2 linked regions of the Arabidopsis thaliana genome follow. The protein of the gene in region 2 interacts with the protein of the main gene of each other region in a pairwise test. Each region holds a gene or a part of one and is shown on either strand. Other genes may lie near its edges.

Region 1 (4,080 bases), on a different chromosome or scaffold from region 2:
AAAATCAATAGCACATATATGTAGCCTGCATCTGAAGATTCCTTGTCTAGATTCTCGTGACAATTGAATATGAAAAGACATGAGATGAAAGTTGATGTTGTTACAGTTGAAGAATGTGTAAATGATACAACTGCATACCAGTTGGTTAACTTTATGTATATAATCGAAATTTCACCTGATTCTGTTGTCATATTAAAAAGACATGATGATACACTCCTGGAAGTGGATCTATACTCCAAGGACTCACTTTGTTGGTTTTGAATTGGAAATGATGTAGTTGATAGTGAATAATGGATTGATCTTAATCAAAGCGGTGGAAAGACGATGAATGGGGATGGCGACGAGATCGAGTGGATGCAGCGGAATGAAAGGGGAACGAATTGTACTTCCAAGAGTGATGAAAGACTCTTAGACTACGAGCTTGGATCCAACTTAGATATTACACACTAAGAAGAAAACAAGTTGAAAAGATACTACACACTTTTCAGATCAAACAAGTGAAAGAGAAAGTTTTTGATTAAAATGTTTGATGATTACAAATGAGAACTACAATGAGTTTATATAGGAGAGGAGGAAGAAGGGGAAGAGGTGAGAGAAGAAAGACATGCAAGAGCATGCACAAGTACACACTCATGCAAAGAGTTTTGGAAATAACAAAAACAATAAATGCAAAGTTTGAAGAGAAAATAGAAAATGGGCCACGGCATTGTGAGTGGGCCTTGGACCACGAATTGAGCTGATAAAGGGAGGCTTGAAAGTGTTCCTTAGGCCTCATTAAAAACCTTGTCAAGAAAACCCATTGGGACAAAACTTGATAAGGGAAAAAGAATGCATAAGCAACACTTAACCCTTTACCGAGCCTCTTGAGCCGTGATCACTATGAAGGAGGATTGAGTCACGTCTTCTTGATTCTTCTTTAGCTCCTTGAGTAGTCCATTGATAGCTTGGTTGAACTTCTTAGATTTTGATCTTGTTAGAGGACCCGCCAGAACGATTAATGCTTCCTCCGGTACAAGCTGCTTCTCGTCTTTTTGTGGTTCAAGTGGTTTGGTTGCCTTGGTCATGTTCTCATCGCATGAGTTTGGACTTGAAACTACAAATACAAAACATAGAAACAGAAGACAAATATTATCATTAAACCAAACTGATGAAGCAGAGAACCAGTTTGATTTCGATCAATTTCCCTCATACATATATGTATGGAAAACTGATCGAGGTCAAACCAGACCCTTTCATTCATTACATTGCTAAAACATATCTGTAACCAAAATTAGCAGAATCAATACATACATATAATAAAGAAGTAACTAGAAGTTAGTTTGAAAACTGCAGAGAAATTATCTTCAAAGTGCTGAAATAGTGTTTGCAAAGTCTTTGAAACAATCAGAGAATCGTAGATTATCTCCATCCAAACATCTCTGAAAATAAGAAAACGGAGTTAGATCCACCGAGACTTGATCATCAACAACAGCGTTCAAAATACTTGCACTAATCTCCTGATGAGTAGTGTTGTCCGAAAACCAATCATTTAGCGCGCTCTCAAAAGGCGTGTCGAAGCCAATGTCTTGATCGTAATCCAGGTTCATTTCAGGTAAAGCAGCGTTGTTATCCATAACACAAAAAGTTTCACAAATCGAGCGAATCTGATCTTGTTCTTCAGTGATCTCATTGAAATTTTCAGGTGAATTATCAGGGACGCAACAAATTGCAGAAGTACTCGACTGAATATTTAGGGTTTGATTTGGCTCTTGAGTAATCTCGTTGAGATTTTCTGGGATGCAACAAATTGGAGAAGCGGACTGAAGAATTAGGGTTTGATCATGAGTTTCGTGGTCTGAAACAAAATCGCACTTGTCGTTGTTCTTCAGGTCCTCGCGATCATTAACGAAAGCTTGATTACAGGCTAAAGCTTCATCCGCACGCAATTCCTTGAGATTCCTCAACAGCGTCCGCATAGAGTCGATCGCTTCACTAATCTCTTGAGGATTCTCCGATCTGGCAAGGCTCTCGTCGTTCCACCAAAAACCTAACCCTAGATTATTGCGAGTCAAACAGATACCAACGTCCTCCCTCGTCTCTTTGTTATCCTTCGGAACAGGACGTTGTCCGGAGAGAAAAGCAGAGACAACGGCATCAACAGAGGAGTGACCGAAAGAGTAGAAGGATACGTTGGATTCAGAAGAAGGAGGAGTCGCTAAGATAGCGATCTGTGCGTCTGAGAGAAGACAAAGCTGAGAGGCTTTGCTATAGAGACCTTCACGGCGTTTGGTGCAGGTAACCCTAAGGGAATCTCTCTTCTGTATCGTCTCAATCGCAATCTTCCTCTTCGTGCCACCTTTTTTCACCATTCTGATTGATTTTTCTCAATTTTGTTGAGTGTGGAGAAAGATAATTGAAAAGTGAAGGCTTCTTCTATCTCTCAGTCTCATATATATAAGGGAAATATCGAAACCCCATATCAATATCATCCACCTAAACCGATTAAACCACATGGACCGTAATCTTGTATGGGCTAAGCCCAACTATCCACCAGAATCCTTTTTTAGTGCAGTCTTATTTATTTTTATTTTGATAATTTTTAGTTATTGTATTATGATTCAGATTTATTTGGAGATATTTTTATTTTTCAAAAAATATTATTTTGCTAGATTCTACAAAAAAAATTTTGTCAGATTATTATGAGAGAGACAAACAAATATATAGCTGGTTCTTCACATTATCGTGTTCATTCTTTCTGGTTCTTCACTCCTTAAAATGTGGCTATGGAGTTGACAAAGGTGACCTGGTAGCAGAAGAAAACTTTGTTAAAGACCTACTGAAAAACAATAGTCCATCAAATAAAACTAACAAAAAAGCCTATCAGCTATCCTAAACACACAAAACTCAAAATATCAATACCAAGAAGAAACAATTGTAATTGGTGACTATAGAACAAACCTTGAGAGAGGGTCATCAACATATAATCACTGACTGATTTCATTGGAGCTTAACCTTGACAGTGTTTCAAAAACACCTAGCAATATCTATCACTCAGTTTACTACCACTGTCTAGAGCAACCAAATCGTCCAGACTTTCTATAAAAACGTTGTTTCTTAGTATTCATCAATTTTTTGTCAAAAATATTTGCAATTATACTGTTTTTGTCTTGATCATCTATTGTAGACTGGATATTTGCACATGTAATGTCAACAATTTCATCTGTTGTTGTACCATTAGCAGAAAAAGAAATGATTCTCAAATTTGGGGTTGGTCAGTCAACAGAAGATGATTCCAAAGCATCAAACGTTTTTGACCTCTCCTCCAATTTCTCTTTACATACAATTTCAAAAAGAAAAAGATTATCTCCAACTAAACCCTAAACCTAAAATTTTCTAACTGAAGGAAAAAAAATCCCCTAAAATTCTCTTCTGCCATTAGAACCAGAGTTTTTAAAGAATTGCAGGAAACCTAACTAAATAATTTGGAAACATGAGAAAAAAAAACATCAGTTTATCTACATAGGCGCGATGATAAGCTACGAAGAAGGTAGCGTCCGGTCGAACCAGTTAGAGAGATTTGAGATTTTGGCTGCTACACTTTTATTTCGACCAAAGAAAGTCTCTGCATTGGACAACATAACTGATACGTCGTGTCGTAATGCTTCCACACTTCGGTAATAGTTGTTCTCAAGCCTTGATCTGATTACTTCAAGAGACAAAGGAACTGGGAACCTGCAGAATGAATCCATAGAACAAAACCATGTCAGCTTTGGCTCCACCAAAGACTCTTCCAGGGTTGTAGAAATTTACCTGTTGGAGTAGCTGGAATTTCCCACGGTCTGGTTCAGTTTTCGGAGGCCAAAAGAATCCTGAAACAAATTAGCCCACATTATATCAATATTGTTAGTTCTTGGGATAATGTTGTGTCTTAATCCACTAAGCTTTAGAATGTGATCTATAAACCAACTAAGCTAATGTAAACATGGGCCTAAGCTCTTTGGGTGAAGTCTGAATTTGGTGGGGAGGATAGGCTAGATTTAACACCATGAGATATTATATTCATTAGGATCACATACCTGGGTTCTCTTGTCTGAAGTCTCT
Region 2 (4,570 bases):
TACGGAGACAAATTCCATGAGAAAAGAAAGCTGAGTTAGCAACAAGTGCCACGTGACAACATACTCAATTTCTTCTAAGGAAAATACAACCATCTATTTCTTTTTGTCGCATACCCACCCATATATGATATACTTAGAACCATTTTAAGTTTTTTTAAAACATAAAAATACGATTTTAAATTTGAAAATTTGATTAGAGTGTGATTATCTAATTATTGTGTTGTCTATAAATCTACACAGTCACTACTTTCTACCACACTGATTTTAACAAAATCAATTAAAGTTGATCAGCACTTATTTCTTTCATATGGGCTTAAATGCCAATTTACTTATATATATTTTGATGAAAATGTGTGGTAAAACTTAAGAAACAAAAAAATCCTAACACTAATTAGCGCCTAGGTATTTTGAGCAATGCCTCTTTAACTTAAAAAGAAAAAAACGAAAAAAGACAAAAGTAATTGTCCTGCTGTCAAGAAATGCCCATATTATTATTCATCCACACAAGACACGTACGACCATGCCTCTTAGTGATTTGTCATTGGCCCACTTCCCATCCTAGTGGATCAAATTGATAATAAATACTATAATAAATAATTACAAGAATTCAAATAGAAACCGGCAAATCAATTAATAGATATAAAAAGGAGATATAAATCGTTAACATTTTCTATTGGAGCAGGGAGAGCCAATAAAAGTCGAATCTCACGATATTTCGCAGTTCTCTAATTGGCTCTTTGCATAAAAAATGAAACCTAACTAATGGGTAGAAGAATACTTTTGCAAAGCAACAAATATATCAGATAAGATCGTAAGCTATCCACATCACTTGTTAATTGTCCTCAAACCATATTATATAATGCAAACAATTTATGGCGTTAAATCCTTACGTATTTATTCTCTATAAGAGTAAAACACACACACTGAAGGCAACTGATTTAATTGGATTTCTATTGACCAGTAGAAATACTTGTTATGATGTCGGTCGCTCGTTGGCTAAGTATTTCTTATAAATATATAAGACATATTTAAAATCTTTTTACATTACATACACCCACTTATGAGAAACAAATATAATAAAATGTTGATACCAAATATATATATATATATATAATAAAATGGGATAATTACAAGAACAACAAAAGAGAGATTTTTTATGAATTTGGAATTGGAATCTATCGAGTGCATATATTATACGGACAATAATCCTCATAGCAATACACATTTTTTCTATAAAAAGAAACGTAGGATAAGATTATAGAAAGAAGAATAAAAACCTGGAAATGGAAAATAAAGAAGATATATATCATGAGTTCATGACTAAACAACTATTTATAGCTTTTTCAATAATAATATCATTCAAGAGTGAAGAATAACAATCAGATTTGGAAGAGAAAAAAATTTAAAGAGAGACACCATTTAACATCGGTAGGATCTGAACATGGTTATCAAATCTAATACTTTCTATTTTATTATTTTTCATATAGTTATTATCGTTACTATAGTATTATAGTGAATTAAAATTTTAAGCATCAAAACTCAGGGGGGATGAACTTCACTAAAATGATGTCAATATCTCACGTGGACCCTTTATCCATTCCATGGCCCACACATGGGTCCCACTTCCCCATGCACACAGCCCACAACATATTCATTTCTATATTTGTTCCTATACTCTCTTTTCTCTTTTTCTTACATAAATAAAATACTAACTTATTATAAGGATTATTATTGCTTCGTGTGTTTTCTTCTATAAGTTACATCAACAGTTCATGAAATAGACCCTAATATAGTAACCTAAATTAAATGCCGTATATTTCATTATGTTTCCACGAAGCTTCCTTTGTGTTCTTTGAGTTGACCCATACACACCCATCTTACTTCCCATGCACCTGCACATATACTATAATTACTCCCCTCAAACACGCATTCTTACAAATATATTTTTTGTTATTACCAAATAAAAAGTGAAACATAAAATAATAATATCAGAAGTGACACTTGCTGTTTCTTATTTCCCTCCCCCCAAGCTCTTTCTCCTTCTTTCTATATATATTATACACACACACGTATACATATACACAACATAATTCACAACACAACACAAACACATTTCTGTTTTCTCCATTGTTTCAAACCATAAAAAAAAACACAGATTAAATGGAATCGAGTAGCGTTGATGAGAGTACTACAAGTACAGGTTCCATCTGTGAAACCCCGGCGATAACTCCGGCGAAAAAGTCGTCGGTAGGTAACTTATACAGGATGGGAAGCGGATCAAGCGTTGTGTTAGATTCAGAGAACGGCGTAGAAGCTGAATCTAGGAAGCTTCCGTCGTCAAAATACAAAGGTGTGGTGCCACAACCAAACGGAAGATGGGGAGCTCAGATTTACGAGAAACACCAGCGCGTGTGGCTCGGGACATTCAACGAAGAAGACGAAGCCGCTCGTGCCTACGACGTCGCGGTTCACAGGTTCCGTCGCCGTGACGCCGTCACAAATTTCAAAGACGTGAAGATGGACGAAGACGAGGTCGATTTCTTGAATTCTCATTCGAAATCTGAGATCGTTGATATGTTGAGGAAACATACTTATAACGAAGAGTTAGAGCAGAGTAAACGGCGTCGTAATGGTAACGGAAACATGACTAGGACGTTGTTAACGTCGGGGTTGAGTAATGATGGTGTTTCTACGACGGGGTTTAGATCGGCGGAGGCACTGTTTGAGAAAGCGGTAACGCCAAGCGACGTTGGGAAGCTAAACCGTTTGGTTATACCGAAACATCACGCAGAGAAACATTTTCCGTTACCGTCAAGTAACGTTTCCGTGAAAGGAGTGTTGTTGAACTTTGAGGACGTTAACGGGAAAGTGTGGAGGTTCCGTTACTCGTATTGGAACAGTAGTCAGAGTTATGTTTTGACTAAAGGTTGGAGCAGGTTCGTTAAGGAGAAGAATCTACGTGCTGGTGACGTGGTTAGTTTCAGTAGATCTAACGGTCAGGATCAACAGTTGTACATTGGGTGGAAGTCGAGATCCGGGTCAGATTTAGATGCGGGTCGGGTTTTGAGATTGTTCGGAGTTAACATTTCACCGGAGAGTTCAAGAAACGACGTCGTAGGAAACAAAAGAGTGAACGATACTGAGATGTTATCGTTGGTGTGTAGCAAGAAGCAACGCATCTTTCACGCCTCGTAACAACTCTTCTTCTTTTTTTTTTCTTTTGTTGTTTTAATAATTTTTAAAAACTCCATTTTCGTTTTCTTTATTTGCATCGGTTTCTTTCTTCTTGTTTACCAAAGGTTCATGAGTTGTTTTTGTTGTATTGATGAACTGTAAATTTTATTTATAGGATAAATTTTAAAAAGGGTTACTTAGATATGTCTCAAGAGTTTTATTAGCATGAGATGATGAAAATGTTGTTACCAAATCTTACCTTGGTTTCTTTTCATTTTATGTGTATGGGAACTCGTATTTATATGTATGCATTAGCTACTGCTTATGGTATTTGCTGCTTTTTGTATATAGATTTGAGGAGTTATGACTTATGCGTACGTAATTTTATAAAATAACTCCAACCAAAAGAGAAAAAGTTTGCAGGGTCTGTAAACGTATATAATCGTATGATGATATGATAGACCATACTCCGATACAAATAACCAAAGAGAAAGATATTTTAAAATGAATGCTATTTAAGCTTTTGCAAGATATTATTTTAAGCTTCAGAAATTATTGTGTTGGTAGAGAGATTCATGTTGCTGTTAAATAATATATATGTATTTATAATTCTATCTACTACTTTTTCGGCTTAACTCAATCTAGATATTTGTTTCTAAAAGTGTTTTAGTTTTCTTTCTTTCGCTGGCTGCGACTATGAGTATCTTCAGATTCTCTACAAACTTAGGTATATATAGCTATTTATTTCGAAGGAATTTGATGGTTAAAACGAATAACATTAAAACTCTGTTAATCTCTTACGAAATGGTATATAGTATATGCGTTAGAGTTTGAACATATGATGATAATAGTACACCTGCCGCATACATTACTATGTACCTACATAAAGGAATATATTGACCATTGATCTAATGAATGTTCCGTTCATATGCACTTTCTTTCGATACAATTCGGTGGACTATAACATTATTCCATTATAGCATAAAATCCTATTATACAATTAAAAATGCCCACGCAATTTTACGTATACTTTTGTCTATAACACACATCCACACATAATTCAAGTTGTGTTCAAATAGTAACACAGCAGTAGCTTTAGTGAAAATTATTAGACTTGTTGATACCAAAGACTAGAAAGAAAGAAAATAAATAAATGTACTAGAAAAAATCCACCATCATAATCGTTATTGTTGTTTGATTTTTGTGGATCCATTTAGATATACATTTATCAACGACTAATTCTCAATCTAACAAATTCTATAAGATAGGAAAATTTTGAAAAAGCACGATCATAATTTAGAAAAACACAAGTTAATCATAAAGTTACTAATTTAATAGCTATAATTTCTTTTAGTTACAAGAACCATAAAAATGTCGTCAAATATCTTTTAGATAA

What was found. Proteins that work in one complex are often made in the same cells at the same time.
Region 1: the proteins of RAV1 (region 2) and AT5G49420 interact in a two-hybrid assay, tested with the Arabidopsis thaliana proteins (one large-scale study listed by BioGRID).

Annotation. Positions count from the first base shown.
Region 1 is NC_003076.8:20,033,823-20,037,902, forward strand, and holds AT5G49420 (MADS-box transcription factor family protein), read right to left. Parts: upstream 2,384-4,080; 5' UTR 2,349-2,383; coding exon 1,344-2,348; 3' UTR 1,291-1,343; intron 1,094-1,290; 3' UTR 850-1,093; downstream 1-849. Other genes in the region: AT5G49430 (WD40/YVTN repeat and Bromo-WDR9-I-like domain-containing protein), read right to left, coding at 3,516-3,711, 3,790-3,848, 4,056-4,080.
Region 2 is NC_003070.9:4,540,226-4,544,795, forward strand, and holds RAV1 (uncharacterized protein), read left to right. Parts: upstream 1-1,942; 5' UTR 1,943-2,160; coding exon 2,161-3,195; 3' UTR 3,196-3,745; downstream 3,746-4,570. UniProt on the Arabidopsis thaliana protein: Binds specifically to bipartite recognition sequences composed of two unrelated motifs, 5'-CAACA-3' and 5'-CACCTG-3'. May function as negative regulator of plant growth and development.